7 linked regions of the Xenopus tropicalis genome follow. Each later gene encodes a partner of the first gene's protein in a complex. Links are inferred from orthologs where the notes say so. Each region holds a gene or a part of one and is shown on either strand. Other genes may lie near its edges. The genes, in order: srrm2, cwc15, dhx16, rnf113a, crnkl1, rbmx2 and snrpd2.

Region 1 (4,919 bases):
ATGTAGACATTGAGACAATTTGCAATTGGTTTTCGTTTTTTTGCTTTTTGTAATTTTTTTCCGTTATTTAGCTTTTAGTTTAGCAGCTCTCCATATTGGAATTTAAGCAGCTATCCAGTTGCTAGGGTCTTGTTTACCTTAGCAACCAAGCAGCGGTGTGAAAGAGAGAGTGGAGTATGAATAGAACATGGACTGAATAAAAAGATAAGGGATAAAAAGTGACAAAAATGAAATGTTATTGGCTAGTGGGGTCAGTGACCACCATGTAAACGCTGGAAAGATGTAGACAAAGAAGGCAAATAAATCAAAAACTATAAAAAAAATAATGAAGACCAATTGCAAAGTTGTTATGAATAGTACATTTTAACAAACTAAAAGTTATCTTAAAGGTGAACCACCGCTTTCCTACTGTTCCTATATGGCACGCCAGAGGAACCCACTCATGCAGCCCACCCCTCCTGTATGCAGTGCTGCTGAACACAGGGGGCACTATGTACAGTGCCAGGCCCAAGTCTTTGTGCTTATATCCAGAAGTCAAAAGATTTGTCCCCGTACAGCTTCCTTACATTTGTTATAAACGGACCGTGGCAGCTTTACGTGAGCAAAAGATCCCATAATGCACTGCTCCCATTGGGAGATGTAACATAGAGTTCATTGTGATGGGATCTTCTAACCTTGCAGATACACAAGTGGACAAACCTTAAGCTGGCCATACACGTGGCGATCTGACGATGTTTCGTGCGACCGAAGGAGGTAGAAACAATAGGATTTCTACCTCCTTCTGCCGATTCAGCGCTGAAGGTAGATTTTGGTCAGACGCCTTCTATGGCGCCCGATCAAAATTTTCAAACTGGTCCGATCGGCGAGACGACCGATATCAGCAGCTTCCTGCGATATCGGTCGACTCACCGACATACCATACACGCACCGAATATCGTACGAAACGAGGTTTCGTACGATATTATCGGTGCGTGTATGGCCACCTTTAGCCAGATATTGGCCAGGCAGGGAGGGGCCCCTGATAATAAGCTAGTATCTCAGTCTGGAGGAGCCAACTCAGCCGGTTTTTGAAGATATTTGGATCCTAATCCAATTTGCAGTTGGTCTCCATTTTTTCTTTCTTTGGAGCTTTCGGGGACTATTCCTTGGGATCTCCCATTTTGGATTGCAACTGTTATCTGGTTGCTATGGGAAACACAATCAGGGTCGGACTGGGATACCTGAAAAAAACCCAGTGGCCCTGACCCGATCCCCACTGCAGAGGGTTAGGGGGACATGCCCCGCGGGGGCACCTTGGGGGTGAGGGGCCCTTGGGGCAGCAGCCCCGGTTGGCCCTGCACCCCCCCCCCAGTCCAACCCTGAACACAATACAATTACACTGGGATCTGCTGCTCAGCATTGAAAGAACCAGTGTCGGACCGGCCCCCCAGGATACCAGGGAAACTCCCGGTGGGCCCTCCTGCCCCTAATCTAACTTCATGGCCATTCCCTATTTCTGAATGGGAACAAAGAATAGAAATAGATGGAAGAATAGGTACTAGTATATAAATGAGACTAGGAGAATAAAGAAATTGGGTGGGGAAAGGAGGAAAATAGTTTTATAAGTTCATCTATGGTCTAAGGTTTTCCCTGGGGTCTGGACACTGGAAAAAACTACATATCCCAGCATGCCCTGAGGGCCCAGGTGCAGTTAAGGTTTCAACAGCAAAAGAGTTGAACAAGCCCCGCAATAGGGACCGAGAGACAATTTTCCCCATTAACACATTCGTTCACCTCCGCGTTAGCCAACATGACGTCACGTGTTCCGGCCGCTCAGTCCCGGGAAAAAAGCGGGCGCAGGAAAGTGACGTCGCACTAAAACGCGCGGCATGCCGGGACGTGTAGTCCCATAGGCGGAAACCGGGCGGTGACGTCAGCAGGCCGCCGCTCTGATTGGGTAAGAGACCCGCCACCTCTGAGCGCGTTGGTCACATGGGGCTTCCGTACGCAAGGCACGCACGGAACGTACAGCCCGCACCGTGTGTGAGTGGCGCAGCGAAGTGTCGGGGCCAGGCCGCGGAAGCGTCAGCTGAATAGTACCCCCGGAGGCTGGAAAAGAGGGTCCCTCCGAGGCGGAGGTGAGAGGCCTGTGAGGGAAGCGGGGTAGATTGGAAAATGGCGGAGAGCGGGAGGCGAATGGGAAGGCTTTATTAATAGGGACAAAAATGGAGGAAGCCAAACGTGGGAAGCAACGGGGAATTTCCCTCAGTCAGTGAGGGGGCCGGGCTGGCCCGCAGGCGGTGTTACTGTGCTACTCCCGCTACTGCGCTTTGTCCCTTCCCCATAGCATATGGTACAGCGCTCTCTCCCCTCTGGGGAACCCCCCCCCCCCCATACGCACTAGATAATAATGTCATTCTGAGCCCTTAGCCACTGTACGTCTCACATTCTCATTGGTTCATTGCGAGTTTGTTCCTTCTGCACTGCTGCTTCTGACTCCTGCAACAATGTATAATGTGTAATAATTGTATTGAAAAGTTATGTGAAGCCATTTTGGTGGAGATCACCTCTAAACTGGGGGTGATATTAGTAAGCATGGAGTAGAATAGGCCCAGTATGTTTCACATTGGGGGTGGCAGTTTGGGAGGAAGTAGAACCGGGGGGGGGGGGGGGCAGTTTGGGAGGAAGTAGAACCGGGGGGGGGGGGCAGTTTGGGAGGAAGTAGAACCGGGGGGGGGGGGGGGTGGCAGTTTGGGAGGAAGTAGAACCGGGGGGGGGGGGGGTGGCAGTTTGGGAGGAAGTAGAACCAGGGGGGGGCAGTTTGGGGAGGAGTAGAACCGGGGGGGGGGGGGTGGCAGTTTGAGAGGGAGTAGAACCAGGGGGGGGTGGCAGTTTGGGAGGGAGTAGAACCAGGGGGGGGTGGCAGTTTGGGAGGGAGTAGAACCAGGGGGGGGGTGGCAGTTTGGGAGGGAGTAGAACCAGGGGGGGGGTGGCAGTTTGGGAGGGAGTAGAACCAGGGGGGGGGGGGCAGTTTGGGAGGGAGTAGAACCAGGGGGGGGGGCAGTTTGGGGGGAGTAGAACGGGGGGGGCAGTTTGGGAGGGAGTAGAACCAGGGGGGGGTGGCAGTTTGGGGGGAGTAGAACCAGGGGGGGGCAGTTTGGGAGGGAGTAGAACCAGGGGGGGGGGGGTGGCAGTTTGGGGGGGAGTAGAACCAGGGGGGGGGGTGGCAGTTTGGGAGGGAGTAGAACCAGGGGGGGGGGGGGTGGCAGTTTGGGAGGGAGTAGAACCAGGGGGGGGGTGGCAGTTTGGGGGGGAGTAGAACAGGGTGGGCAAACTTTTTGGCCCGGGCCACATTGACTTACAGGGTCAGCGTTACGCCGATGGATTAAAAAAAACCAACGAGCTGGATGTGGCCCGCGGGCTGTAGTTTGCCCACCCCTGGAGTATATATGTGTAACTTTATTTATAAGGTGCCACAAGGGTACGCAGCGCTGTACAGTCTTACAATATACACAGTTACACACAGGGAGGACAAGTGTTATAATAAATACAATAAATATATATATATATATAAGTGCCATGTGGTATGAGACACAGTAGGAAGGAGGTCCCTGCCCCATAGAGCTTACAATCTGAAGGTAACCATATCTGGGAAGGTTTAGGGGCAGTTTGGGAGGGAGTAGAAGGTAACCATATCTGGGAAGGTTTAGGGGCAGTTTGGGAGGGAGTAGAAGGTAGCCATATCTGGGAAGGTTTAGGGGCAGTTTGGGAGGGAGTAGAAGGTAGCCATATCTGGGAAGGTTTAGGGGCAGTTTGGGAGAGAGTAGAAGGTAGCCATATCTGGGAAGGTTTAGGGGCAGTTTGGGAGGGAGTAGAAGGTAACCATATCTGGGAAGGTTTAGGGGCAGTTTGGGAGGGAGTAGAAGGTAGCCATATCTGGGAAGGTTTAGGGGCAGTTTAGAGGCTTGGGATGATGTATTGGTGGAGACGGGAATTGAAGTTATAAGTTGTAGTTCAGGAGTATCGGCTGAGCCAACAAATGGGAACAGGAATCTGAGTCGTCGGGGAGGTGGGTAGAACTGGAGGGCTCTAAAGGTTTAAATAAAAATTCACATTTTAGATAAAGTTGGAAGATTCGGACCAAATGAAAGTGTTTGGGGGGGGCTAATGTGCCGGTTGAAGTAACCAGTTCATGGTGTGTGGGTGATTATATAAATGAGGGTAACTCCCAAAGCACTAACATGGCTGGGTATATTTATCATAGCAGGTTAAAGCCCAGGGTGTTGGGCTTCAGGACTTACTGCATTTTTCATTTTTAATGCATTATATATACTGTATATATGTATATGTGTGTGTGTATGTGTATATATATGTATATATATATAAGTATAAGTTAGGGTCAATGACAGTAGTCACTTGTTGCTGAATAATGGGGTTAGTCAGTATCTGGACTTCATATCTAATGGCACCGTCTTCCTTAATTACCCAGGGCAGCACTAACTATATATTTCCCTCCTAAAGAAACTCACCCCAGAGTGTATCTTTCCACTGCTTCCTGCCACTTAAAGCAGAAATACTGCAGAAAATACAAACTATGGAAAACCGGTAACCAGGCAGAACTGTGGTGCAAATAGACATCTGCCAGGTGTTGGTTTGGATGTTACTTGGCCACGTGGGGTTAACTTCTGTTTCCTCGTTTCTCAGGCCCAACGGATCTATGGATTTGGCAAACTCTTCTGCTCTACCAACATCTTATTTTATCTCTCTTTTAGGACCCTGACTCCCTAGGAGCACAATGTACAATGGAATCGGACTCCCCACCCCAAGGGGCAGTGGAACCAATGGCTACGTCCAACGCAACCTGTCCTCTGTCAGACACAAGAAGGACAGGACCGATTACAAGTCCGAGGAGGAACTGAAGAAGCTGGAAAACCTCCTGG
Region 2 (4,877 bases), on another chromosome or scaffold:
TTTTACTTTTAGTTCATAGGATCTCTATCGATGGCACCCTCTTCAACCCTGTCTATTTGGCGCGTTGTTTGGGGGTGATATTTGACTCCAGTCTCTCCTTCTCTGACCATATTAACAGCCCTGTCAAAACCTGTCACTTTTTCCTGCGCAATATTGTTAAAATTTGTCCCTTTTTTTCTACTGCAACAGCTAGGCTGCTCATGCATGCTCTCATCCTATCCCGACTACTTGACTACTGTAACCTGCTGCTAACTGCCCTCCCTAACTCCCATCTTTCCCCACTACAGTCTATATTAAACACTGCTGCCAAAATTCTCCTCCTCTCATCCAGGAGAGTTCAGGCCCTTCCCCTGCTAAAGTCCTTATCATGGCTTCCTATTAAACAAAGAATATCTTACAAACTCCTTCTCCTAACCTTCAAAGCCCTCCATTCCTCTGCTCCTCACTACATCTCTTCCCTTGTGTCGCCGTACATTTCTGGTCGACTCCTCTGTTCCTCGCAGAGTAACTGCTTGGTTACGCCCCCCCCCCACTACTACTGCAGTTTCCCAACTTGCTGCCCCTTATATTTGGAATGCCCTCCCAGATTTCCTCCGAAGAAAATCCTCCCCAGTGTTCTTAAAACTAAACTTAAAGACTAACTTTTGGAGCACTCACCCAGCACCTGATCTGGGAACTGGCACTTATATTGTAATGTCACCCACTGTGACCTACAGCACTTATATTTGCCTATTTGTGTCTGTAAGTTACCCTCCCATCTAGACTGTATGCTCTACGGGGCAGGGACCTCCATCCTCTTGTGTCTTTGACTCTTAACTTATTGCAACTGTATCTTGTATTTATCTGTATTTATTGTTATACTTTGTATTTATCTATTATTTTAATAACCTCCTGTTTGTATTAATGTATTCTACTGTACAGCGCTGCGTACATAAGTACCGCTTAATAAATATATACATACGAAAAGTCCACTGTATAAACAAACCCCTCCCTTCCCCCAGGGGCAGCCTTTAGTCATTAGGCTCTGTGATAAGGAACAGGTATTAGGATGAAGACACATGGTACTTAGTAGCAGCTATTTGTCACGGCTACTAAACGCCAGAAAATCCCCTGCCACAGACAATACTGAGAATTGCCTCTGCTAAAACACACAATTTAGAGACAATTATCAGTAAATGATCAGCACTGTCTATTTTAGTAGCCGTGACAAGTAGCTGCTACTAGTAGCTCCGTGTGTCTTCACCCATATACAGAGGTGTCTCATAATGGTTTGTAAATAATAACAAAAAGAATGTTCAACACAAGCACAAGTGAAATAATCTTGAAAAGGGGGATATACTTCCCCTTTAATGACCAACATAATTCACTGTGCCATGTTAAGGACTACAGAACAAATATCTTACATGCCTTAGCCACTCACATACCTGTATTTGATCTTAGTGTGAGAGGGGAGGTCTCTGCTGGAATACTGCTTTGAGAGCTGACTGAGATCGGCTTCCCCTTTACCTCTGCCGCCTCTTGCTGGTTCAAACGTTGGCCTGGCCGCGGTTGTCATCTTTTACACAACTGTTTCACACACAAATACAAGAACTGTTTTAAAATTCCTACTTTCATAAGCTGACTTTTTCTACACAGCTTCAGGAGTCAGAAGCAGCAGCGCAGAGCACAGGAAAGGCAGAATGATACTACAGGTATGGGACCTGTTATCCAGAATGCTCGTGACCAGATAAGGGATCTCCTACCTTATGTCTGGTAAAAATCATTCAAATATTGAATAAACCCAATAGGCTTATTCTGCCCCAGTAAGGGGTAATTATATCTTAGTTGGGATCAAGTACAGGTACTGTTTTATTATTACAGAGAAAAGGGAATCATTTAACCATGAAATAAACCCAACAGGACTGTTCTGCCCCCAATAAGGGGTAATTATATCTTAGTTGGGATCAAGTACAGGTACTGTTTTATTATTACAGAGAAAAGGGAATCATTTAACCATTAAATAAACCCAATAGGGCTGTTCTGCCCCCAATAAGGGGTAATTATATCTTAGTTGGGATCAAGTACAGGTACTGTTTTATTATTACAGAGAAAAGGGAACCATTTAACCATTAAATAAACCCAATAGGGCTGTTCTGCCCCCAATAAGGGGTAATTATATCTTAGTTGGGATCAAGTACAGGTACTGTTTTATTATTACATAGAAAAGGGAATCATTTAACCATTAAATAAACCCAATAGGGCTGTTCTGCCCCCAATAAGGGGTAATTATATCTTAGTTGGGATCAAGTACAGGTACTGTTTTATTATTACAGAGAAAAGGGAATCATTTAACCATTAAATAAACCCAATAGGGCTGTTCTGCCCCCAATAAGGGGTAATTATATCTTAGTTGGGATCAAGTACAGGTACTGTTTTATTATTACAGAGAAAAGGGAATCATTTAACCATTAAATAAACCCAATAGGGCTGTTCTGCCCCAATAAGGGGTAATTATATCTTAGTTGGGATCAAGTACAGGTACTGTTTTATTATTACAGAGAAAAGGGAATCATTTAACCATTAAATAAACCCAATAGGGCTGTTCTGCTCCAATAAGGGGTAATTATATCTTAGTTGGGATCAAGTACAGGTACTGTTTTATTATTACAGAGAAAAGGGAATCATTTTTAAAAATTTGAATTATTTGATTAAAATGGAGTCTATGGGAGATGGCCTTTCTGTAACTTGGAACGTTCTGGATAACAGGTTTCCAGATAAGGGATCCCATGCCTGTACTTTCAATTGTCCCTCAAGTTGATATTGCTGGCCATAGGCTTAACCAGCCGAGTTCCCTTACATTAGCAGGGGACTCACAGACTGGGCAGGAGGGTACAGTATTGCTAAGTAGATAAAGCCGAGCTGTAAGCTTCCCCAGCCAACAGGGATAGTGGGGGGCGATATATTGCTCCTAGAGGGCCTCAATCCCCTATGACTAAAATAATCGCTGCCGTTCAGCCTGAATTCCCCTCTTCCCAAAGGTGCGATTTCGCTCACCCCGTAACAGCGCCTCAGCCCCAGCACCAAATCCCACGGCGACTGGCGTCACAATTACCCGTCGCGCTAGTTCTTTCCACCGGGAAACTTCCGGCGCTCGGAGTACGCGTCACGTAAGCAAGAGGGCGTTCCAGCTGATTGGAAGCCGTCGGCGGCCATGTTTGTTGTGGCTATGTAATGAATCAGGGGGTGTATGTGCGGTAAAGGGAGAATATTATATAACACTGTGCAGGGCTTCTGACTTCTCTGTGTTGGTTTACATAAGAACATTTCCGAGCAGTCATTTTTCATAACTGAGATTTCTCTTTACTAAATTAGTTGCCCTTTTTTGTTATTCATTAATTCTTTTTAATAATTTTTATGTAGGGACCCCAAGATTTGGGCCCCTGTGCCTGGGTTCCCCTTTAGACAGGCATACCAGTGGGTGGCCTTGTGGGATATGGACCTAAGGGTGGTCCTAATTGTGTGTGTGCTATAGTTTCTAGTTTATTGTCATATACAAATAACAATGAAGCATCATTACCGTTATGAAATTTTTTGACCTGTGTTCCCCCCAACTTTACATAAACATCTACAATTTTTTTTTTAACTTTTTAATTCATCTTTAATTATTATATTATTATAATTATTCTTTCCAGATTAAAAGAGAGTTTCCTCTGCAGTTCAGCAGTGACCACTAGGTGGTGGTGTTCTGCAATATAAAAGGGAATGGACTCACAAACCATGAGGTCTTCTTCCTGGGACTTCACCTCTCTAAGAGGTTAGCTACAGGAGCCAGTTAGACATTTTATTGTCACTCTAGGAGTGAAAGGATAGATAGTGTATGTCTATGAAGATTTTCATTCATCCAGGTCATGGTATATCTAGTATAAATAAATGTAAGGGCTCTGGCACAAGGGGAGATTAGTCACCCGCAACAAATCTCCCTTGTCACGGGCAACTAATCTCCCTGAACTACCATCCCACCGGCGAGCATGTAAGGATGGTACACGCTGCGCAGTTGCCTCGCGAGGCATTTTCGGCGACTTGCCGAAATCGCGCCGCGTGTGCCATCCCACCGGCGACTTACATGTTCGCCGGTGGGATGGCAACTGATGGCAACTCGGGGAGATTAGTCACCCACGAACAGGGAGATTTGTCGCGGGCGACTAATCGCCCCATGTGCCAGAGCCCTAAAGCAACTGGACTTGTTTGTTACCAAACAAGTCCAGTTGCTTTAAATTTATTTATACTAGATAGATAGTGTATTTAGTTGGGCAGTTTGAGGCCCCTCCGAGGAGATCAGTGAGGTTATCACCTCCCGGCATTACTGGCCGTAGCTCAGGGAAATTCAGTGGCTGGCTCAGGTCACAGTATATTCCCAAACGGGAGATTATCTGGAGCAAGAGAAACTCCAGGTTTGGATATAAGGGAGAGATACCGGAGTCTGCATTTATTACCACTGAATGCTGTTTGGAATAAAGAAGTTTGTTTGGTTAATCAGCAAGTCTCCCGGTCAGTTCCTCCCCAGGCGGATCACCAGCAACCGGGTAAGCACTCACCCAAGGGGCAGCAGGGTCCCAGAGTTGCAGGGAGTTTGCCAAGTTGAGGCCTACACAAACTAACACAAATAACACACACTCTCAAAGATACTTATATACTTAATTTTTTGACCACGCCCACTTTGTGTGGCCATGCCCCAATTGCCACTCCCCATTTTTTTTTAAAAATACTCCTTTTATATAGATGAAATGGCGGGATCAGATGCAAATGTGCTATACCCTCATACTGTACTACCTAAGGAAAACAATATAGCAACTCCTACATATAAAATACAAATATAGAGAGAAGGCAGTCAGTTATAA
Region 3 (4,125 bases), on another chromosome or scaffold:
AGTACATTGTTTTAACAACTGCTTTAAATGCCAGCCACACTTCTCACCTAAACTTTTAAGTAAGAGAACTACATTTCCCAGATTGGTTCTCTGGATCTCAGGCACTGTTGTATCTTCCATCTCATTCTTATATGCCCAAGCTGTATAAAGTCGAAAACATTTTCCTGCAGCCACACGTCCAGCTCTCCCAGCCCTTTGATTGGCTGATGCCTGAAAAACAAATGGCAATACTTGCTTAGAGCTCTAGATGTTGTATACTACAGTATAGTGACGAGTGAACATTTCAAAAAGTGGCTGGGGAAAAAAAAAAGCCAATGATACCTTGGATTCAGAAAATGCACATTGTGTATTTTTCTGGACCCCCATTTGAACTGTAAAGGTGCTAGGAGTAGGACATTCTAAAATGTATCTATAAACGTTATCTTAGAGGCAAACCGCCCCTTTAAGGCCTAGTTTTAATATTGGCAAGACGAGGCTGACATTATAAGGGTTTACCAAAACACAGAAAGAAATCGCCAGTGCTCGGTCTAACCCACGCTGTAGCGTTGACCAGCTGCTAGAAACACCCTTGTGCCAGCGCTCGGGCTAGCCCACATTCTGGAGTTGACCAGCTGCTAGAAACGATAAAAAGCGATTAATTATACACAAAGAGAAAGAAAGATTGCCAGCGCACAAGGGTGTTTCTAGCAGCTGGTCAACGCTACAGCGTGGGTTAGACCGAGCGCTGGCGATTTCTTTCTGTGTTTTGTGTACAAATTGTAACCAAATTTTGCTTTTAGCTGCTATGTAGCCTTTAAACCAATGAATCACTTTCATGTGTGTGCTAATGAGCTGGGGCTTAAAAGTTCCCTGCTTTTCCACTAGAGCCCTTTTGAGCTAAGGGTAGGTGCAACAGGGTCTTACTACTCAGTCACACTGAGTCTGTGATACAATTAAAATTAAGTCCCCCAGCAAAGTCATTAGACAGTGTAGGACTCGCGTACAATGAGGGGCCTTGACATGGCACGTGAGCTTACATATTTTGGCCAAAGTGTGGTACTAACACCTCATTTTTTGTAAAAATTATTTTTAAAGGCAAACTAAGTGCTGGCAATCTTTCTTTCTCTTTGTGTATAATTAATGGCTTTTTATAGTTTCTAGCAGCTGGTCAACTCCAGAATGTGGGCTAGACCGAGCGCTGGCACAAGGGTGTTTCTAGCAGCTGGTCAACGCTACAGCGTGGGTTAGACCGAGCGCTGGCGATTTCTTTCTGTGTTTTGTGTACAAATTGTAGCCAAATTTTGCTTCTAGCTGCTATGTAGCCTTTAAACCAATGAATCACTTTCATGTGTGTGCTAATGAGCTGGGGCTTAAAAGTTCCCTGCTTTTCCACTAGAGCCTTTTTGAGCTAAAGGTAGGTGCAACAGGGTCTTACTACTCAGTCACATTGTTTGCTGGGGGACTTGATTTTAATTGCATCACAGACTCAAAGTCATTAGACAGTGTAGGACTCGCGTACAATGAGGGGCCTTGACGTGGCACAAGAGCTTACATATTTTGGCCAAAGTGTGGTACTAACACCTCATTATAAGGGTTTACCCTTATTGTTTTGAAAGCATTTCTCATTGATTATTAAATTAAGGGCTATTCTGCAGTTATAAATTAATGTTAGGCTGAAAATCTTGCAGGAGGTGAACTAAAGCTGTCCAATTGTGGTACCAAAGATTTTTTGACCCTATGTCTGCCCAAGTATGCCATAGACTTTTTTTTTTTATTTTTTTAAATCTATAAAAAAAAATCTGCCTGAAAACTTCTACACTGAAAATGATGGACAGCATTGGTTCAACAGATTAGTAAGACTTACCTTTGAGCAGGGAGTCACAATGAGGGACTCCATTCCTGATCGAGCATTGTAACTTTTCTGCTTGCAGAAACCTGGGTCAATAACATATATAATTCCATCAATTGTAAGTGATGTTTCAGCAATGTTAGTGGCTATCACAACCTGAAAAAAAAAGAAAATACGACAATGCTAAAAGGTTCATAACTCCTTCTAACCTACTACTCCAGCATGTTTGAATAGGAAGAGGAAATGTCATGCCCTGAGACGCTCTGCCTAACATTTAAGCACTATATATGACAGATACAGCTGCAAAATATATATGTGGAATAGCCTGCTTTGAGGGTGGCACCCCTGTATGTTTGCAAATTAATAAGAACTCTTCTTTAAAGACAACCTTATGGTAACTAAACTGGTTGGGAGTGTCATACAGTTATACAGATATACAAGGGTTGGATACAAGGAAATGCTCTGTTAGTACCACAGTCATATAATACCAGCTTTAGAATGGTTTCAGTCATTTTTATACTTTATAATGTGTATTTATTAACATGCCTTAATGAACACATTGTAGGTTTTCTATATTTAATAAGACCTCATATGTAGCTATTGTGTACACTTAATCACATTACTAGAGGCCATGTAGGTCCTGTGGGAGAGTCTGGAAGCAATTCATAATAAAACATCGTTGGAGTGCCAGTTTAGGGTAGTTACTGGTAGTTACATCAGTTTATACAGCTCAGGTTTAGAAGGGCAGCCCAATACTGCATATGGTATTTGCCTCAGACTCCTTATAGGAAGAAGTAGTACCACAATTCCCTTCTCTCTGAAACACACAATGTAAGGGAATAACTTATAGCATCTTTTGTCTGTGCTATTCTTAAAGGGTGTGCTAAGCATTTAGTTTAGTTATTTCTCTCTCTACATAATTGGGTTACACTACAAGATGATGTCCAGACACGTCATTTTAGATGTTTAGGTCCGGCAGAAGGGTGGGAGTCAGACTTTACTATTTAATAAGTACAAGAAAACCAGCTAGACTCTCATACTTTTCTTGCTCCTGGAGGTGTAGGTTCAAAGATCTTTGCCTGCATGTCAGAAGGCAAATTAGCATATATTGGTAACACCAGCATCTCTGCAATCTTGGATCCTAGTCGACGACATCGCTCTTGTAGCATCTCACAGCATGTTTCTATCTCCTCCTGCAACATATGAAATGTACATGTACCAAGACTGCATAGCAGTGGCACTGCTTATAACATCAGTACATTTACATTAAATGATAAACCTAACAAAGGGTTATTGCACATACAAAATTCACACTGCCACTATTTAGCATGAGCTTTTTTTTTTGCATTTCCTACAGATGTTAACTGGAAGGGACTTCTATCTAGGCAGTCAAATAATCCCATATCACATTAACCTAAGGTCAGTGACTTTTCAAACTTTTTTTTTTTTTTTTTTTTTTTTTAAATACCAAAACGTATATATTTGTTGGTTAGCACATTCCCACTTCTGCCTACATACCTGTCCTGTAAGAAAGACTAAGATGTCTCCTGGTGGCTGGGTAACATGAATCTGCAACACTGACACCACACAGGCCTCCAAGTAATCTGCTTCAGGAGCCTGTTGTGAAAATATCATTCATCAAAAAAGGAAATAAACATAAAATGCCCAATCTCATCAATAATGCTGCCAATGTCAATTCTCGTGTCAAACCTACAGTGATTTACCTTGGTGTAATATATATCCACTGGATACCGGCGCCCAGGAATACGAAACACTGGGGCATCATCAAAAAAGGAGGAAAATCGCTCTGTGTTTAGGGTGGCACTGGCTACCAGAACTTTGAGGTCTTGGCGGAAACGGGCAATGTCTTTAATGAGGCCAAAAAGAACATCTGTGTGCAAAGTCCTTTCATGAGCTTCATCTATTATTATTACACTTGTGGAAAAAAAAAATGATAAGGAAATGGAGAGAGTAATACAGAATACAGGCTGGTCGCTGTACAAATGAATTAATTTTTCTAAAGATTCTGTATGAGGCATGATGTATTCATATGTAACAGAAGTCCCCTGCCTAAATACATACAAATCCAGAGATTGCATAATGGATACCTGTAAGATGCCAGATCAGGCTCAGTGAGAAATTCCCGCAGTAACATCCCATCTGTCATATACTTCAGCACTGTGCGCTCAGATGTGCAGTCTTCAAACCGAATACTATATCCCACCTAAAGCAAAAAAGTGCGAGTAAAGCTTTTGCTACATACAGAAACTCCTCTCTGTAGTCTTTGTTTTTTAGAA
Region 4 (4,592 bases), on another chromosome or scaffold:
AACTGACTGCTGCTATGGGTAATTGCTCATACTTGTGTACTTAAATTAGGCCCAGTATAAGTGAAACTAGCTGTGAGTAAAACTTGCAGTGTTACATAATAAATAATAGTAAGGGAAGAGAGAATAAAATATGGGCAAAAAGGGCCAAAGGAACAACAGACATTTAATGGAAAGGGGTACAACACAATCCAGCAACTGACCTCCAAACCCACAGAACCCAGTCTCCTTGTAATCTTTGCAAATATCTGGCTGGTAATCCCAACGTACTGTGGCTCTGAGGTGCTCTGGGGCACGTATTGGTCCTTTCCTAAAATGATAAAAGTTAAAGTTATCAATGCAGACTAAACTATTAGGATTTAATCACCCAGTTGATTGAAAAGTGAAATGTTTCTAAATTAAAACAGAATGGAAAGTGGGAGGGGTACACGTACCTAACCATGCCAGAGGATGCATTGCCCATAGAGGTATCTTTGGGTTTCACAAACTTCTGGTAGTTGTGGATTCCTCGATAGATCTTGTCATCTTCCTTCCCCTTCAACTCCTGTCAGATTAAAGCAAAATAAATAGTGGGAACTAAACAGAGTGTCATCTATGAAAAGGAGAGTATTACAATATTAAAGAAAGTAAAGTGAAGAGAAAAAAAGCACAGAATTTTTAAAGAAACTGCATGTAAGTCATGCAGAACACTGCATGCTTTACTAACACTTATTGCATTCCTTAGTGATCCCCAACCATTGGCTCGGGGGCAACATGTTGCTCACCAACCCCTTGGATGTTGCTCTCACTGCCCCCAAAGCAGGTGCTCATTTTTGAATTCTTGACTTGGTGGCAAGTTTAGGTTGAATAAAAACAAGATTTGCTAACAAATAAAGCCTCGTAAGCTGATGGTGTGCATAGAGGCTACCTATCTTATTTGGCACCTCCACAAACTTTTATGGCACTTGTGTTGCTCTCCAAGTCTTTTTACATTTGATTGTGGCTCATGAGTAAGAAAGGTTGGGGTTCTCTGCTTTAGTGGTTCTCTCATAGTTTAAGGTGAATATATAATCCACTGCATCACATACTAAATACTCACTTCCTGTACTTTCTGGCTCCTCTCAAAAATTGCCTGAGCATCCTTGTCTTTTTCAGTGTCTAGTTCATATGTAGCTGTGGCTCCCATGTCATCTGGCCCTACTGGTTTCTGCAAGAAACAAAGAATGCATACATAGTAAGAAATGGGGGGTGTCTTAGACATGTCATTCTATAAATACAGATTTTTTTTCAATGCATCATTTATATTGAAACAAGACAGACAGCATAGGCTGATTCACAAACTGAATAAAATATCACAAAGAACTAACTGATGATGGGTTTCAAAGATTTTAACATTTATGACATAAAGCCTGTGCTAAGAATAAGCCAATTCCAAAAGAGTCTCTTACCGCAGATCGGGTAGATTTATAAGACACAGTGATAGACTTCGCTGTTTTGTCCTCATCTTCACTGCTGCTTGCTTTGTAATCTTCACAGTCCTTTGGTTGCTGCCTGCTCTAAATCACACACAGAGGTAAATACAACTACCAGAAAGCTCAAGAGGACAAACACTACACACATCCCTTCTGTGGCATGTTAACGTCTGTCCTGCACACAGGGTGACAGGCTGGAGAGGGTTATGGCATGTGTTGTGCTTCCATTCAGCCATTAGCTGCCAGGAGAAGATGATGTGGTATCTATATCTCTAAACAGAGAGGTCTACAGGAAATATCTGGGAGAAGTGTTGCTGCCCACTCTGAAAGATTAACTGGCAGAAAATTTTATAAAGCTCCTTAATGCTCCTGGGGCCTCAGGGTGACATAGTGAATACCTGTGACTCTAACCTTCTGAATCATGGGATTAACCACATCCTTCTTTATCCTCCTTATCACTGGACCTTTCTCTTCCTCGCTGCTCTCTGCAAACAAATCAGTAAAGGACTGATCAGAATAGTACAACACACTTATACAACAGATGCATCTAAGTACTATTCTGAAATTCGATAAATTTAAGACACCAAATGCATGTGAGCCCAGTGACATAAAGGTATGGGATCCCTTATCCGGAAACCTGTATCCAGAAAGTTCCAAATTACGGATCTCCTATAGTCTCCATTTTAATCAAATAATTCACATTTTTAGAAATGATTTCCTTTTTCTCTGTAATAATAAAACAGTATCTTGTACTTGATTCCCAACTAAGATATAATTAATCCTTATTGGAGACAAAACAATCCTATTCAATATTTAAATGATTTTTAACAAACTAAAGTTATGGAGATCCAAATTACAGAAAGACCCCTTATCAGGAAAACCCCAGGCCCTGAGCATTCTGGATAACAGGTCCCATACCTGTACCAATGAACAGTAAATGAGGCTGTATGTATAATTATATTTGTTGTTGTTAATGTTTTGCAAATACTTTGATGGGTTTGATTTTTGTTTTGTCATTTGGACCTTAATTCCCTGGTACATGCTACTGATTTCTAATGGTAATTATATCCAGCAAACAATACAGCCACCCTCACCTGCATCTCCTTTAAGATAGTGGTTTTGAGTAAGGAACAAAGTCGAATAGTTGGCCAATATACACGTTTGAAAATAAAAGCAAAAACCTTATTGGTTGCTAACAGCAACAACACTTGCGCAATTAGTTGTATCTGCGCTCTCTTCTGCATTTAACTCATTTACTCCATCCCAACACTTTGCTGAATTTTATACACGGTAAGCGTGTAATGCCTATAATACTATATTATAATAAACATTTATTTGCACTCCCACTTTCTCCTTGTCTCACCATTGTCCGATTCTTTGCGTTTCCGTCCCGCGAACTTTCGGGCACTTTTTTTAAACACGAAACTGCAAACTGGTGCGTTAGAGTCCGCCATTATTCCTGTGACGCCAGACTAGCTCCAGATTGCGCGCATTGGCTGAGGCCACTTCCTGTTTAGAAAGCGCACGCAGGCGCATTACCGGGGGGAAGTCGCGTTGCTCCAGTAGCAAGATGGCAGCGCGCAAAGCGAAACGTGTGAGTTCGAGCTTTGCCAAGCAAAGTGATGCCGAGCGCCACGATTTGGATAGCAAACTCGCAGCAGTACTGGGAAGTAGAACCAATGCCAACGCGGTGTTTGATATTCTGGAACATCTGGAGGTGAGTGCCCGCTTTGCAGTGTGCTAGCAAACAGTATAACAGCAGCCCTGACAAAGAAGAACATCTTTTGCACGAAACAGAAACACAACATTTTGTGTGACAGTATGCACGTCTAAACAGTGTGACTGGAAGTATTTTAAAGTTCTTATAACAGGGCTCGGCAACCAGTGATAGAAAAAGACAGATGGGAGATGGCCATTAGGGAAAAAAGGAAATGTGAAAAATTACATTTTTGCAGAGAGAGAGAGCTTTTAGCGAGGGTAACATATCAGATTGCTAAGGTTACCAGCCTACTCAACGTATAATTGATGTTATTATTAATCAGCAAGAAAGATCCTGTCTGAATATTTATTTAGAAAAGACTGCAGCCTACAGACAGGGCCAGGTGGGCAAGGCGTGACAGCGGTGGGCAGAGCTAAGATTGAATGCTCAGGTCTGAAAAGAGTGGAACTGCTGGTACATCAGGCCGAATTGTTGGCAGTCAGAATCAGCACTGGGTGGTGCAGGGAAAACAGAATGGCATGAATACATAGTTGTGGGTAATGGGAGAGGAAAATTCTAGTAGCAACGACAATTCCATGAAAGATTCTTTCTAACCTCTTGTCTTTTCTCATTTGCTTTCCCTATTACCTCCGCTGCCCTTTCATTCAGGACCTTCTGTTTTGATCTCACACTTTTCCTAACTTTCCCCTTTATCCCCCGCAACCTTCTGACTCTCACTTTTCCGATTACCACACATTTTCACCCCCTCCATAAACAGAACAACAAATGTGTTTGCGAGTTTCAGTTCTCCTATATTACGGTATAGAATCAGTCACACAGGAACTGTTCCCTTGTGATTATTGTTTGGTCTGTAACAGCTTGTATATTCCTCCCCATAGTAATCACAGTCTATGTACTCCTGAGAGCAACTTAGAGGTCTTTAAAAATTCTCTAGATACTTGCATGCAAGCTAATGTGTCGTTAAATCTCTTACTTGATAGTGGTTCCCTTCTCGGAACTCTGCCAGCGTCTTCATGTGACAATGCTCCTCTACAGGATTACTGTTCCACCAGCTAGAATTTTCCTTCTCCAATTTGAACCCCCCCCCCCCCCCCCCCCCCCACATATGATCTCTGTGTCCACTGTGCCGCTGCTGCCTCTTCCTGGACACAGGGGTCTTCTAAAGGGAGCTTGAGCCTTGTTGTTCTGTTTTGCACAACTATGTGTTTGTATTGTTAAAACCATGCTTTATTCACTTTGCACTTGTTTTTGATTATCTTATAAATTATTATCTTTTATGCTATTTTAACAAACCTAAACAAATCTATGCACATTGTGGCATTATTTATGCTAATTGCTGCACTATCACTTTAATGTTAATGTATAATGAAACATTACCATATTTAACTATAGCATTTTTTACACAAGGTATATTATATAATGAC
Region 5 (4,615 bases), on another chromosome or scaffold:
TCTATGCCAATTTAATTAAAAAAGTGAATACCTCTGAATTTCCTTTAGACTTTCCTCCCATTGTGCATATTTTATCCAGTTACTAATAACCGTCCTGTTCTTCCTAATGTTATCTTCAAAGGTCTGAAAGAAAGACACCACTTTTAACATTACGACTCTAAATAGAGATAATTATATCCTGTATTTATTGAATTGAGACATCAATTCATTTATGAATGAGACATCATCATGGACACAGGCAGCAGTGAATATCTCAATAATATCCTTAAAAAAAACATTTAGATTACTCTCTGGAAGTTCCGATAGTGTTCATGCATTGTTTTCTAAATTTTTCTGTATGTAATCATGTAAAAAATGTTAACAAAATGTATTTTTATACAACTTTTAGAATCATATCCCCAAAACCTTACTTGCAGCAGGCATCTGTACATTTCCTGCATTTCAGCATTTTGCACTGTAGGATGCCAGCCAATCTGCAGCTCAGCAATCATAACACAGAACTACAGATTAAACATAAACTTCCATGCTGCAGAGAGGACCTGACAGCATCTGTATAAAATGCACCCTACTGCTGCAAATGCTGTCCCATGGTAAATGAGTTTTAGCCACGGCTGAAAGCATTACCTTCCTTTTCCTTAGTTTGTAATCATTAAGCTCTTCCTCATCTGTGATCTTCTGTTTAGGAGGTGGAGGCAGAAGCTCAAGTTCCCTCTCTTTGGCCTCTCTCAGCAGCTGCTCGGCTGTAATCTGCACCTCTGCCGGCGCTTTGTTTTTAACCTTCAGTGGAACAAGAACACAAAGTCAGTTAGGGAAAAAGGAATATTTCTGGTAGAATAGCAGGTTGACTGTTGGAACGCAAGATGCTAGTTCCAGTTCAGAAACAGGTGCACATTTGTGGGTTCAGCCTTGATACCAACATTTCAGAAGACAAATGTGAGGGGGCTACAAGGATGGCACAGCTATGAATGAGGGGGCTACAAGGATGGCACAGCTATGAATGAGGGGGCTACAAGGATGGCACATCTATGAATGAGGGGGCTACACGGATGGCACATCTATGAATGAGGGGGCTACAAGGATGGCACAGCTATGAATGAGGGGGCTACAAGGATGGCACAGCTATGAATGAGGGGGGCTACAAGGATGGCACAGCTATGAATGAGGGGGGCTACAAGGATGGCACAGCTATGAATGAGGGGGGCTACAAGGATGGCACAGCTATGAATGAGGGGGCTACAAGGATGGCACAGCTATGAATGAGGGGGGCTACAAGGATGGCACAGCTATGAATGAGGGGGGCTACAAGGATGGCACAGCTATGAATGAGGGGGGCTACAAGGATGGCACAGCTATGAATGAGGGGGGCTACAAGGATGGCACAGCTATGAATGAGGGGGGCTACAAGGATGGCACAGCTATGAATGAGGGGGGCTACAAGGATGGCACAGCTATGAATGAGGGGGGCTACAAGGATGGCACAGCTATGAATGAGGGGGGCTACAAGGATGGCACAGCTATGAATGAGGGGGGCTACAAGGATGGCACAGCTATGAATGAGGGGGGCTACAAGGATGGCACAGCTATGAATGAGGGGGGCTACAAGGATGGCACAGCTATGAATGAGGGGGGCTACAAGGATGGCACAGCTATGAATGAGGGGGGCTACAAGGATGGCACAGCTATGAATGAGGGGGGCTACAAGGATGGCACAGCTATGAATGAGGGGGGCTACAAGGATGGCACAGCTATGAATGAGGGGGGCTACAAGGATGGCACAGCTATGAATGAGGGGGGCTACAAGGATGGCACAGCTATGAATGAGGGGGGCTACAAGGATGGCACAGCTATGAATGAGGGGGAGGGCCTAGGGGGCTACAAGGATGGCACAGCTATGAATGAGGGGGGCTACAAGGATGGCACAGCTATGAATGAGGGGGGCTACAAGGATGGCACAGCTATGAATGAGGGGGGCTACAAGGATGGCACAGCTATGAATGAGGGGGGCTACAAGGATGGCACAGCTATGAATGAGGGGGGCTACAAGGATGGCACAGCTATGAATGAGGGGGGCTACAAGGATGGCACAGCTATGAATGAGGGGGGCTACAAGGATGGCACAGCTATGAATGAGGGGGGCTACAAGGATGGCACAGCTATGAATGAGGGGGGCTACAAGGATGGCACAGCTATGAATGAGGGGGGCTACAAGGATGGCACAGCTATGAATGAGGGGGGCTACAAGGATGGCACAGCTATGAATGAGGGGGCTACAAGGATGGCACAGCTATGAATGAGGGGGGCTACAAGGATGGCACAGCTATGAATGAGGGGGGCTACAAGGATGGCACAGCTATGAATGAGGGGGGCTACAAGGATGGCAGCTATGAGGGGGGCTACAAGGATGGCACAGCTATGAATGAGGGGGGCTACAAGGATGGCACAGCTATGAATGAGGGGGCTACAAGGATGGCACAGCTATGAATGAGGGGGCTACAAGGATGGCACAGCTATGAATGAGGGGGCTACAAGGATGGCACAGCTATGAATGAGGGGGCTACAAGGATGGCACAGCTATGAATGAGGGGGCTACAAGGATGGCACAGCTATGAATGAGGGGGCTACAAGGATGGCACAGCTATGAATGAGGGGGCTACAAGGATGGCACAGCTATGAATGAGGGGGGCTACAAGGATGGCACAGCTATGAATGAGGGGGCTACAATGATGGCACAGCTATGAATGAGGGGGCTACAATGATGGCACAGCTATGAATGAGGGGGCTACAAGGATGGCACAGCTATGAATGAGGGGGCTACAAGGATGGCACAGCTATGAATGAGGGGGCTACAAGGATGGCACAGCTATGAATGAGGGGGCTACAAGGATGGCACAGCTATGAATACTAATTCTCCTGGGTTCTACTCGCTACCCATCAACCACAGCGTTCGTATTATCGCTAAATGTAAGACAACTCCATCAGCAAGTCATACAAACCCCCGTACAGACCTTCTGCTAAGAATCTATCCCAACTTTATTACCTTGGCCACTTTTGGAATTCGCTGCTTCCCCGCCGCTGTGGACGCCATGTTTCCTCACGTCTGCAACACAACCTGACAGGAAACACCAAGACGGGGCGTAATGACGTAGCGTTGGTTTTACGTGCTACGTAATAGTCTCCGTAGGACTTTTGCTGGTTTCGGTGACCGCCCCTGATGAATGTCACGCCCAGTCCCGTGTCCATAGCAACCGAGTATCGCGTCCTGATCCTGAGCGAATGCCTTACAGCTGCTGCCTGCACAAGTGACCGAACCCACTGAGCTTCCTGACAGGTAACAGGGAAGCTGCATATCGTGCTGTATAACCTTGGATTTAGCATGAATAGTGAAAATAACATGTATGGGTCTGGAACCCACAGCCGGCCTTGCGTGACCACTGTGCGCCGCTAAGCATTGGGCAAAGAGCCCCTCGGCGCTAACTGCTGATTGGGTGCTAGGGTTTCTGCACTGGCGCAAAGTTCAGCACCAACTAGTATGTTAGTAAATGAACACTATCTGTAAATGCTGATATTAATTATTTATGCATTGTGTCCGCCTGTTCTGTCTTTGTTATTGAAAATGGAACCTGCACATATTATGAACATTTGCCTTTGAGTAAATACAGTTTAGCCCAATGAAACACGTTAAGGTTCTGGAACTCTCTACAATTTGATATACTTTTCTGTTATAGTCTTTTAAAATACACTTTGACGTGTTCTGGGGTGCTGACTCCTAAGGGCTTTCATTATTTGTATTATTTCACCTGCACCTTCATGATCTGAGAGCCAAGACCTTACCTGAGCAGACATTAGCTTGTGTGCTATGGATCATGAGTTAAGTATATTGAAATGTGCATTTAAAGAAAGGGTACTAGGGAGGACCAAAACGTCACGTTGGCTGTATATGTACATTTAAATATACTTTTTTGATTTGCACAGAAATCCCAGTGTTGCTGGTCTTTTTTGTATGTGTTATGTTTTTACCATGCACCTGGGTATATAATTAAAGCCATGTGCCACCCCTCTGGTAATATATATATATATATATATAATAGAAAGAATGCCACACACACAGGGGTTTGATGCAAAAGAAAAAAATGTTTTTATTGAAAAAATTCCATATATATATATGGAAACAGGAGCTGCCGGCAGTCACATTTAAGGAAGCTTGTTATGCCTGGATGCAGTCTTCAAGTAGTAGCGAATAAGGGAAAATTGGAAGCCACTCATGCAGGTCTTAAGCTGGCCATACACGTGGCGATCTAACGATGTTTCGTGCGACACATCGTCAGATCCGCCACACACAGTCAGGGCTGAAACAGCAGATAAGGAGGTAGAAACAATAGGATTTCTACCTCCTTCTGCCGATTCAGCCCTGACGGCAGATTTTGGTCAGGCGCCTTCTATGGCGCCCGATCAAAATTTTCTAACCTGGCCGATCGGCGAGTCGTCTGATATCAGCAGCTTCCTGCGATATCGGTCGACTCGCCGACATGCCATACACGCACCGAATATCGTACGAAACAAGGTTTCGTACGATAGTATCGGTGCGTGTATGGCCAGCTTTATGATGATAAGGAAA
Region 6 (2,844 bases), on another chromosome or scaffold:
TAACCTTTCAAATTGGGGCCTTTTTTTTACCTATCATGCTGTTGCCTTATTCACAGCATTAACTAGTGATGGTAGCAGGAAAAATTATCATATTTTATTACAATTTCCAATTTTACATTTGCCATTATTATTATAGTCCTGCTGGTTGTTTACAGCTGATCTGTGTATTTAATTCTTCTGCTAAACTAAATTGATAGTTTTTTGTTTTTTCATGTTAGATAAGAAGAAAAAAAAAGACAAAAGCAGGAGGAAAGAGGAAGAGGGTGGCAACAGCAGGCATAACAAACAAGAACGTTTGGATTCCCCTTATGACAGATCCAGGACAATTGAGAAGTTTTCCAGGGTGGGAAGTGAGAGCTCAAGGGCCATGGAAGAAAACCGTGGCTCTCACAAAAAGAGTAACAGCAAAGGTGATTCCCATGATAAGTACAAAGAACAGCACAAGGAAAAAGAGGAACGCAAAGAGCGAGAACAACAAATGCCAAGAGATAAGTACAGAGAGCAGCAAGAGCAAAGATCAAAAGACAAGACAGAAAGAGGCAGAAGGTAGCAGAAGAGTATGCTTTATGGGGACAATAAGAGGTGGAACGTCTGTGCAGTGTTTAAGCCCAAGTTGTTATTAAATACATACTAAGGACCCTTGGTGTACAGTGTATGGAATGATGCATGGGAGAAGGATTTTAAGAAGTAAAAGGCAATTGTGATGTACTGGCCACTTTGAAATGGCAGGAGCTGAACCTTGCTATAATTGTTTGTCTGTCAAAAAACTAAATTAGAAATACAACTGCTGAGCAGTGATAAAAAATATTTGAAAAACTGGTAGACAAAGTAAAGTGACATCAGTTCATGAGGTATTAAAATAGAGTAATCTGGCGTAATATAGTAGAGCTTTACCTGCAGAATGAGATTTTCCATCTTTAAAATCACCAAGATCAAATGTATTTTTTTTACTTTTTAACAATACAAGTTTTATTGAACAGATTATAATAGATTTAGTTCACAAGCAGAATTAAAATATAGTATAGCTGGTACATCAAGGCATATGCAAATAGTACACACATTTTACAAAACTGGAGCAATGGCCTGTTGTGACTGCACAAATAGCAGTGTGTATCATTTAGGGCATTACATACAGTCATTGTATATGAAGAGGAAAGAAAAAACAGTATAATAAGGGTTACATTATATGCACCCATGCTGCCAGAGGGGGTGATCACTATTGTAGCCTTTAGAAGTGAATCAGCACTGGAATGACAAGTTATTGGCATCAGTGTAAAGCAGTGCCCTGCAGAAGCATTAACTTAAATCATGTTAATTTCAGTGTACACCTAAGGGGTCGTACAGTATTCCAAATTTGTCGGGCATCCCAGCATAAATAACTTTGTGCAGCGCAAACACCATATTGATGTGCTTTTTTCCAATGGGCTTTCTGCTTTTCAGTGTATTACAATGATGAGTATTGCTACTAGTTTTCTCACGGCTCCTGGTAGGGGCTAGTGGATCTGGCTGTATCAGCACATTATTTATGACCATCTAACTGGTATTATCAAACTTCCGAACCTTTGTATCCTGTGACAGGACCAAATGACATTTTAGGGCATTTACCAGAGATACATTCTTTGTAGACATTTACATTCTTATTTGTCTTTAGCTCTGACCAGATATTAATATTGGGAGTCTACAATATCAGGGCAACCTAAACTTAATGCATTTAATATTATTTGGTCCACAGATGGAGTTCTGGAACAGAAAAAATTCAGAGCATTATGCCAGACCTACACTACTTCTTGTATTAGTGGGGTTGGTTTGGAACCTCTGTATAGAAGGTTTTTAAGCTCTTCATATGTACCTATAATACAGACTCCTAGGGGGTGATTTATCACTTTGAGTTTTTTTCACCCCTTTGAGGGGGAAGCCCACCACCAGGCTACTGGCCACTGGATAATATAAAAAGCTATTGGATGCCACTAACCCACCACTCTCTTGTCAAATGTATGTTTATTAGATTTATTTGGTGGTCATAATGTTTTTGTTTTTTTTTTGACAAATAAAGCAAGATTTGTGTATTCATTTCCGCTATTACATGAATGTATTTAACTAGCTGTATTATTCCATCAAAATAAAATTGCACATCCATGATAGCCCAGTTTTCTTTATGTATTCATAGAAAGGAATAGACCACAAAGCAAAAGATGAGAAGAATTTTGTTCGTCCAATTGCAGCATACACTATATACAGTTCAGTTTGGACATAAATTAGAACCCATCCTGAAAGCTTGTGTACATTCGCCTTTAAATAAAGTATGTAGGGTGGTTGCCCACAACTTTAGCCCATATGCTTTGTCTGTTATTTAAATGATAATAAAAAGGCAGTTTGGCATTTTATTGCCAATAGATTAACCACAATAGTGCAAGCTAGAATGCTGTATTTATTCTGCAAAATGCTTTGCCATACCTGAGTAAACGGTCATAGAAGCTCTCTCCGTTTATTTAAAATAGAAGCTGCCATTTTAGACTGATGTCCCATTGAGAGATTTATCCACAATAGATCTTTGCTACAAGGGGCAAGTAATCTCTCTAAAATGCCTTCCCACTGGCAACAATACAATTTGGCAGTAAAAAGGCCTACACATCGCTTCTGTTTTCCAAAGTTTCCTCCTGCAGTCAACTTAGAGTGACTTTTGAAACCAGAAGCAATGCGTAGACCTTTTTACTGCCAATCTGTATTGCTGCGCATTTTGCAGAATAAATACATCAAGTGGAAATACAGTGGAAAGGCACTTTGGAGAGATTAGTTAGTTGCCCCTGGTAGCAGAGATCTATCGCTGGCAACAAAATCTCTCCA
Region 7 (4,653 bases), on another chromosome or scaffold:
GTTAACAAAATCACAATATGCGCTGTCCAACTCTTAGTTTTGTGTATAAGTGCAGGGAATTATTTGGCAATATGTTATTAACATGGATCTATAAAGTGTCAACATATTTATTGGCACTGTGCAATAAAAGGGTGTATACATACAGATTATTATAACGCGCTGATACATTCTGCAGCTCTTTAGAGAGATTATAAACCATTCATGTCACTATTAGCCCCACCACAGTTTAGATTTCATTAACATACTGGTCTATGCAAGAATTGGGAATATATACAGTGGTGTGAAAAACTATTTGCCCCCTTCCTGATTTCTTATTCTTTTGCATGTTTGTCACACAAAATGTTTCTGATCATCAAACACATTTAACTATTAGTCAAAGATAACACAAGTAAACACAAAATGCAGTTTTTAAATGAGGGTTTTTATTATTTAGGGAGAAAAAAAATCCAAACCTACATGGCCCTGTGTGAAAAAGTAATTGCCCCCTGAACCTAATAACTGGTTGGGCCACCCTTAGCAGCAATAACTGCAATTGAGCGTTTGCGATAACTTGCAACGAGTCTTTTACAGCGCTCTGGAGGAATTTTGGCCCACTCATCTTTGCAGAATTGTTGTAATTCAGCTTTATTTGAGGGTTTTCTAGCATGAACCGCCTTTTTAAGGTCATGCCACAACATCTCAATAGGATTCAGGTCAGGACTTTGACTAGGCCACTCCAAAGTCTTCATTTTGTTTTTCTTCAGCCATTCAGAGGTGGATTTGCTGGTGTGTTTTGGGTCATTGTCCTGCTGCAGCACCCAAGATCGCTTCAGTTTGAGTTGACGAACAGATGACCGGACATTCTCCTTCAGGATTTTTTGGTAGACAGTAGAATTCATGGTTCCATCTATCACAGCAAGCCTTCCAGGTCCTGAAGCAGCAAAACAACCCCAGACCATCACACTACCACCACCATATTTTACGGTTGGTATGATGTTCTTTTTCTGAAATGCTGTGTTACTTTTACGCCAGATGTAACGGGACATGCACCTTCCAAAAAGTTCAACTTTTGTCTCGTCGGTCCACAAGGTATTTTCCCAAAAGTCTTGGCAATCATTGAGATGTTTTTTAGCAAAATTGAGACGAGCTTTAATGTTCTTTTTGCTTAAAAGTGGTTTGCGCCTTGGAAATCTGCCTGCAGGCCGTTTTTGCCCAGTGTCTTTCTTATGGTGGAGTCGTGAACACTGACCTTAATTGAGGCAAGTGAGGCCTGCAGTTCTTTAGATGTTGTCCTGGAGTCTTTTGTGGCCTCTCGGATGAGTTGTCTCTGCGCTCTTGGGGTAATTTTGGTCGGCCGGCCACTCCTGGGAAGGTTCACCACTGTTCCATGTTTTTGCCATTTGTGGTTCGCTGGAGTCCCAAAGCTTTAGAAATGGCTTTATAACCTTTACCAGACTGATAGATCTCAATTACTTTTGTTCTCATTTGTTCCTGAATTTCTTTGGATCTTGGCACGATGTCTAGCTTTTGAGGTGCTTTTGGTCTACTTCTCTGTGTCAGGTAGCTCCTATTTAAGTGATTTCTTGATTGAAACAGGTGTGGCAGTAATCAGGCCTGGGGGTGACTACAGAAATTGAACTCAGGTGTGATAAACCATAGTTAAGTTATTTTTTAACAAGGGGGGCAATCACTTTTTCACACAGGGCCATGTAGATTTGGAGTTTTTTTTTCTCCCTTAATAACGTAAACCTTCATTTAAAAACTGCATTTTGTGTTCAATTATGTTATCTTTGACTAATAGTTAACGGTTTTGATGAGCAGAAACATTTAAGTGTGACAAACATGCAAAAGAATAAGAAATCAGGAAGGGGGCAAATAGTTTTTCACACCACTGTACTAAATCAGATATAACACTATTTTTCTGACAACAAAACGTCTACTGGTGATTTTTTGTTTAATGGAGAATACAATTTTATTAAAAATGGGTTACCCTATTAACTGTCCATTTTGGTACGATTTTAATTACTAGGTTTAATTTTCCCCAAATAATCATGTTTAAAGCTGTTTTTACCCATCGCTATCTACTTGCTGCCTCCATGTTTTTAAAGGAGTGCCCCATAGTCAAAAACATTACTGAGCATGTGTGAAGTCCCACCCCTTATTGCTAGAGCAATTAAGCCTTAATAAACTAACAAAAAAGTCTGGGCTGAATGTGTTAAAAGGCATATTTTTCAGTCATATGCATTTTTTAAACACAAATTAGTGTTTAAGTTGACCACACAGATCTCTATAATCGTGCAAGCACATAAAGCTGCAGAATATTTCCTTTGTAGAAACTTGTCATGTGGGTCCAACCAGGAAAGATATGGAATTGATTAGAAATTGATTGAAAACATTTAGAACCATTGAAAATGTTTAAATCGTGTATACTGAATAGTTGCTTAGTATTAAAAGACACATATCGGATTTGAATTGGGCTAATAGAACCCGCACTTAGGTTGGGGGAAACAGTACCATTTTGTCCAAAAAAATGCTCATAGCGATGTGCCACCCACACCCGGATGATGGAGAACTTGCTGCAGGTAGCCATGTTATTAACATGCCTGTATATAGTGAGCAAGTGTCACATGCAATTGCATAATGAGAAAACCCGGGGAGCTGTTTATACACACGACCTGGTGCTGGTAGCCTGCAAGGGAAGCTTTTTGGCACTGCCATCTCTGCCACAGTAATTAAATCACAGAACTACACAGCATTTTCTAAGTGCAGGCAAGTTCCGGCTAGTACAATCGCATGCTCTGCTACATAGAGGCATTCGTTCTAAGCGTCAATCAGCTAAACTTAAGTAGATACAAAAGGCTAGTTTTTTTCCTTATTTTTAAGTATTTAAAGCTGGGCTGAAGATATTCCACCAGTTACTCACATCTTTCTTTTTGTCTTTCCTTTCCCTTCTCACGTTTTCCCGGCGTGTAGAACGCTTCCTTTGAAGGGCCACTTCCGCTTCCGGGCCACTTTAGCGGCTAGTTCCTGCTTGATTTGGTTAAGCCTGTAGAAACGTGCCCACGTGATCGACACGAAACAAGTTCCCTCCAGTTTGCTACGCAGAGGGGCAGCGGCGTAATCTGACAGAGAAAAGGCGGGGTGGATTAGTTAACAAAGAGGGCGCATCTAGTTCCTAGAGTGGTTATAGGACAAGGCAAATCTTATTCCAATATTGTTCCAGTATGTAAGGCAACGCTCTGTGCTGGGAATTCAGTCGCTAAAGAGCGCAATAAGAACAGTTCCATGTTTCATTTTGACCATGTTTTCTCAGATTGTGCAATTGGAGGGATATACCAGTAGGTGGCGCAATTGTTACATAATAATTATAATAGACGCTTATAACATGCTTAATAACTTTGAAACTGAAAACAAATCTGAATTGCAAAAGCATTTGGAAGACCGACCAGAAAATGTGTACACTTTTTAGTGTCCTATTGTGTAAAATAACTGAATGGATAGCTTTACTGCGTAGCAGATTTAAAGGTGTTCTTCACCTTTGAATTAACTTTTAGTATGATATAGAGCAGTGTTCCCCAAACAGTAGCTTGCGAGCAACATGTTGCTCTCCAACCCCTTGGATGTTGCTCCCAGTGGCCTCAAACCAGGTGCTCATTTTTGAATTTCTGGTAAAGGAGGCATGTTTTGCAGCCATAAAAAACAAGTATAATGCCAAACAGAACCTTCTGTAGGCTGCCAGTCCACATGGGGGCTATCAAATAGCCAATGATAGCTCTCATTGGCACCTCCAGGAACCTTTTTCATGCTTGTGTTGCTCCCAAACACTTTTTCCACTTGAATGTGGCTCACAGGTATGAAAGGTTGGGGATCCCTGATGTAGAGTGTAATATTCTGAGACAATTTGCAATTGGTCTTAATTTTTTATTTGTAGTATTTTTTTTAGTTCTTTCACTTTTTGTTCATCAGCTATCTTAGAGCTAGAGTCCAGATTACCTTAGCGACCAGGTAGCAATTTGAATGAAAGGGTGGTAAATAAATAGGAGAGGACCTGAATAGAAAAACAAGTTATAAAAAGTAACAATAACAATAAAACTGTATGCTCACCAAGCAATAGTTTTTTGGCTGCTGGGGTCAGTGACCCCTATTTGAAAGCTGGAAAGAGTTAGAAGAAAATAAAAAAATGATTCAAAACTATAAGAAATAATGAATAGGAATAGGCAATTCTATAACACACTAAAAGTTAAAGGAACAGTAACACCAAAAAATGAAAGTGTATAAAAATAATTAATATATTATGTACTATTGCTCTGCACTGGTAAAAGTTGTGTGTTTTCTTCATAAACACTACTACAGTTTATATAAATACCCTGCTGTGTAGCCATGGGGGCAGCCATTTAAATTGAAAAAAGGAGAAAAGGCACAGGTTACTAAGCAGATAACAGATAAGTAGCAGATTCCCATTGTATTCTACACAGTTTATCTGGTATCTTCTTATGTAACCTGTGCCTTTTCTCCTTTTTTCAATTTAAATGGCTGCCCCCATGGCTACACAACAGCTATTTCTATTAACTACAGTAGTCTTTCTGAAGCAAACACACAACTTTTACCAGTGCAGGGCAACAGTACATTATATTTTAATTATTTTAAAACATTTTTATTTTTTAGTGTTACTGT

What was found.
Region 2: srrm2 (region 1) and cwc15 share a complex: the UniProt entries of both Homo sapiens proteins name them as parts of the minor spliceosome. The link is inferred for Xenopus tropicalis from reciprocal best matches to the Homo sapiens genes SRRM2 and CWC15.
Region 3: srrm2 (region 1) and dhx16 share a complex: the UniProt entries of both Homo sapiens proteins name them as parts of the minor spliceosome. The link is inferred for Xenopus tropicalis from reciprocal best matches to the Homo sapiens genes SRRM2 and DHX16.
Region 4: srrm2 (region 1) and rnf113a share a complex: the UniProt entries of both Homo sapiens proteins name them as parts of the minor spliceosome. The link is inferred for Xenopus tropicalis from reciprocal best matches to the Homo sapiens genes SRRM2 and RNF113A.
Region 5: srrm2 (region 1) and crnkl1 share a complex: the UniProt entries of both Homo sapiens proteins name them as parts of the minor spliceosome. The link is inferred for Xenopus tropicalis from reciprocal best matches to the Homo sapiens genes SRRM2 and CRNKL1.
Region 6: srrm2 (region 1) and rbmx2 share a complex: the UniProt entries of both Homo sapiens proteins name them as parts of the minor spliceosome. The link is inferred for Xenopus tropicalis from reciprocal best matches to the Homo sapiens genes SRRM2 and RBMX2.
Region 7: srrm2 (region 1) and snrpd2 share a complex: the UniProt entries of both Homo sapiens proteins name them as parts of the minor spliceosome. The link is inferred for Xenopus tropicalis from reciprocal best matches to the Homo sapiens genes SRRM2 and SNRPD2.

The regions. Positions count from the first base shown.
Region 1 is NC_030685.2:12,487,867-12,492,785, forward strand, and holds the start of srrm2 (serine/arginine repetitive matrix protein 2), read left to right. Parts: upstream 1-1,950; 5' UTR 1,951-2,117; intron 2,118-4,751; 5' UTR 4,752-4,774; coding exon 4,775-4,919. Other genes in the region: thoc6 (THO complex subunit 6 homolog), read right to left, coding at 1,774-1,791. UniProt on the Homo sapiens protein: Required for pre-mRNA splicing as component of the spliceosome. As a component of the minor spliceosome, involved in the splicing of U12-type introns in pre-mRNAs.
Region 2 is NC_030678.2:164,534,834-164,539,710, forward strand, and holds the start of cwc15 (protein CWC15 homolog), read right to left. Parts: upstream 3,069-4,877; 5' UTR 3,034-3,068; intron 1,567-3,033; 5' UTR 1,556-1,566; coding exon 1,425-1,555; intron 1-1,424. UniProt on the Homo sapiens protein: Involved in pre-mRNA splicing as component of the spliceosome. Component of the PRP19-CDC5L complex that forms an integral part of the spliceosome and is required for activating pre-mRNA splicing.
Region 3 is NC_030684.2:75,481,699-75,485,823, forward strand, and holds part of dhx16 (putative pre-mRNA-splicing factor ATP-dependent RNA helicase DHX16), read right to left. Parts: intron 4,053-4,125; coding exon 3,937-4,052; intron 3,764-3,936; coding exon 3,553-3,763; intron 3,446-3,552; coding exon 3,347-3,445; intron 3,022-3,346; coding exon 2,869-3,021; intron 1,985-2,868; coding exon 1,844-1,984; intron 211-1,843; coding exon 48-210; intron 1-47. UniProt on the Homo sapiens protein: Required for pre-mRNA splicing as a component of the spliceosome. Contributes to pre-mRNA splicing after spliceosome formation and prior to the first transesterification reaction.
Region 4 is NC_030677.2:156,458,024-156,462,615, reverse strand, and holds the start of rnf113a (RING finger protein 113A), read right to left. Parts: upstream 2,921-4,592; 5' UTR 2,903-2,920; coding exon 2,812-2,902; intron 1,934-2,811; coding exon 1,860-1,933; intron 1,533-1,859; coding exon 1,425-1,532; intron 1,184-1,424; coding exon 1,076-1,183; intron 542-1,075; coding exon 432-541; intron 308-431; coding exon 201-307; intron 1-200. Other genes in the region: noc4l (nucleolar complex protein 4 homolog), read left to right, coding at 3,019-3,165. UniProt on the Homo sapiens protein: Required for pre-mRNA splicing as component of the spliceosome. As a component of the minor spliceosome, involved in the splicing of U12-type introns in pre-mRNAs. E3 ubiquitin-protein ligase that catalyzes the transfer of ubiquitin onto target proteins.
Region 5 is NC_030681.2:36,926,158-36,930,772, reverse strand, and holds the start of crnkl1 (crooked neck-like protein 1), read right to left. Parts: upstream 3,115-4,615; 5' UTR 3,086-3,114; coding exon 3,038-3,085; intron 778-3,037; coding exon 625-777; intron 124-624; coding exon 32-123; intron 1-31. UniProt on the Homo sapiens protein: Involved in pre-mRNA splicing process. As a component of the minor spliceosome, involved in the splicing of U12-type introns in pre-mRNAs.
Region 6 is NC_030684.2:38,932,517-38,935,360, reverse strand, and holds the end of rbmx2 (RNA-binding motif protein, X-linked 2), read left to right. Parts: intron 1-218; coding exon 219-550; 3' UTR 551-2,070; downstream 2,071-2,844. UniProt on the Homo sapiens protein: Involved in pre-mRNA splicing as component of the activated spliceosome. As a component of the minor spliceosome, involved in the splicing of U12-type introns in pre-mRNAs.
Region 7 is NC_030684.2:70,386,033-70,390,685, forward strand, and holds the start of snrpd2 (small nuclear ribonucleoprotein Sm D2), read right to left. Parts: upstream 2,976-4,653; 5' UTR 2,905-2,975; coding exon 2,903-2,904; intron 1-2,902. UniProt on the Homo sapiens protein: Plays a role in pre-mRNA splicing as a core component of the spliceosomal U1, U2, U4 and U5 small nuclear ribonucleoproteins (snRNPs), the building blocks of the spliceosome.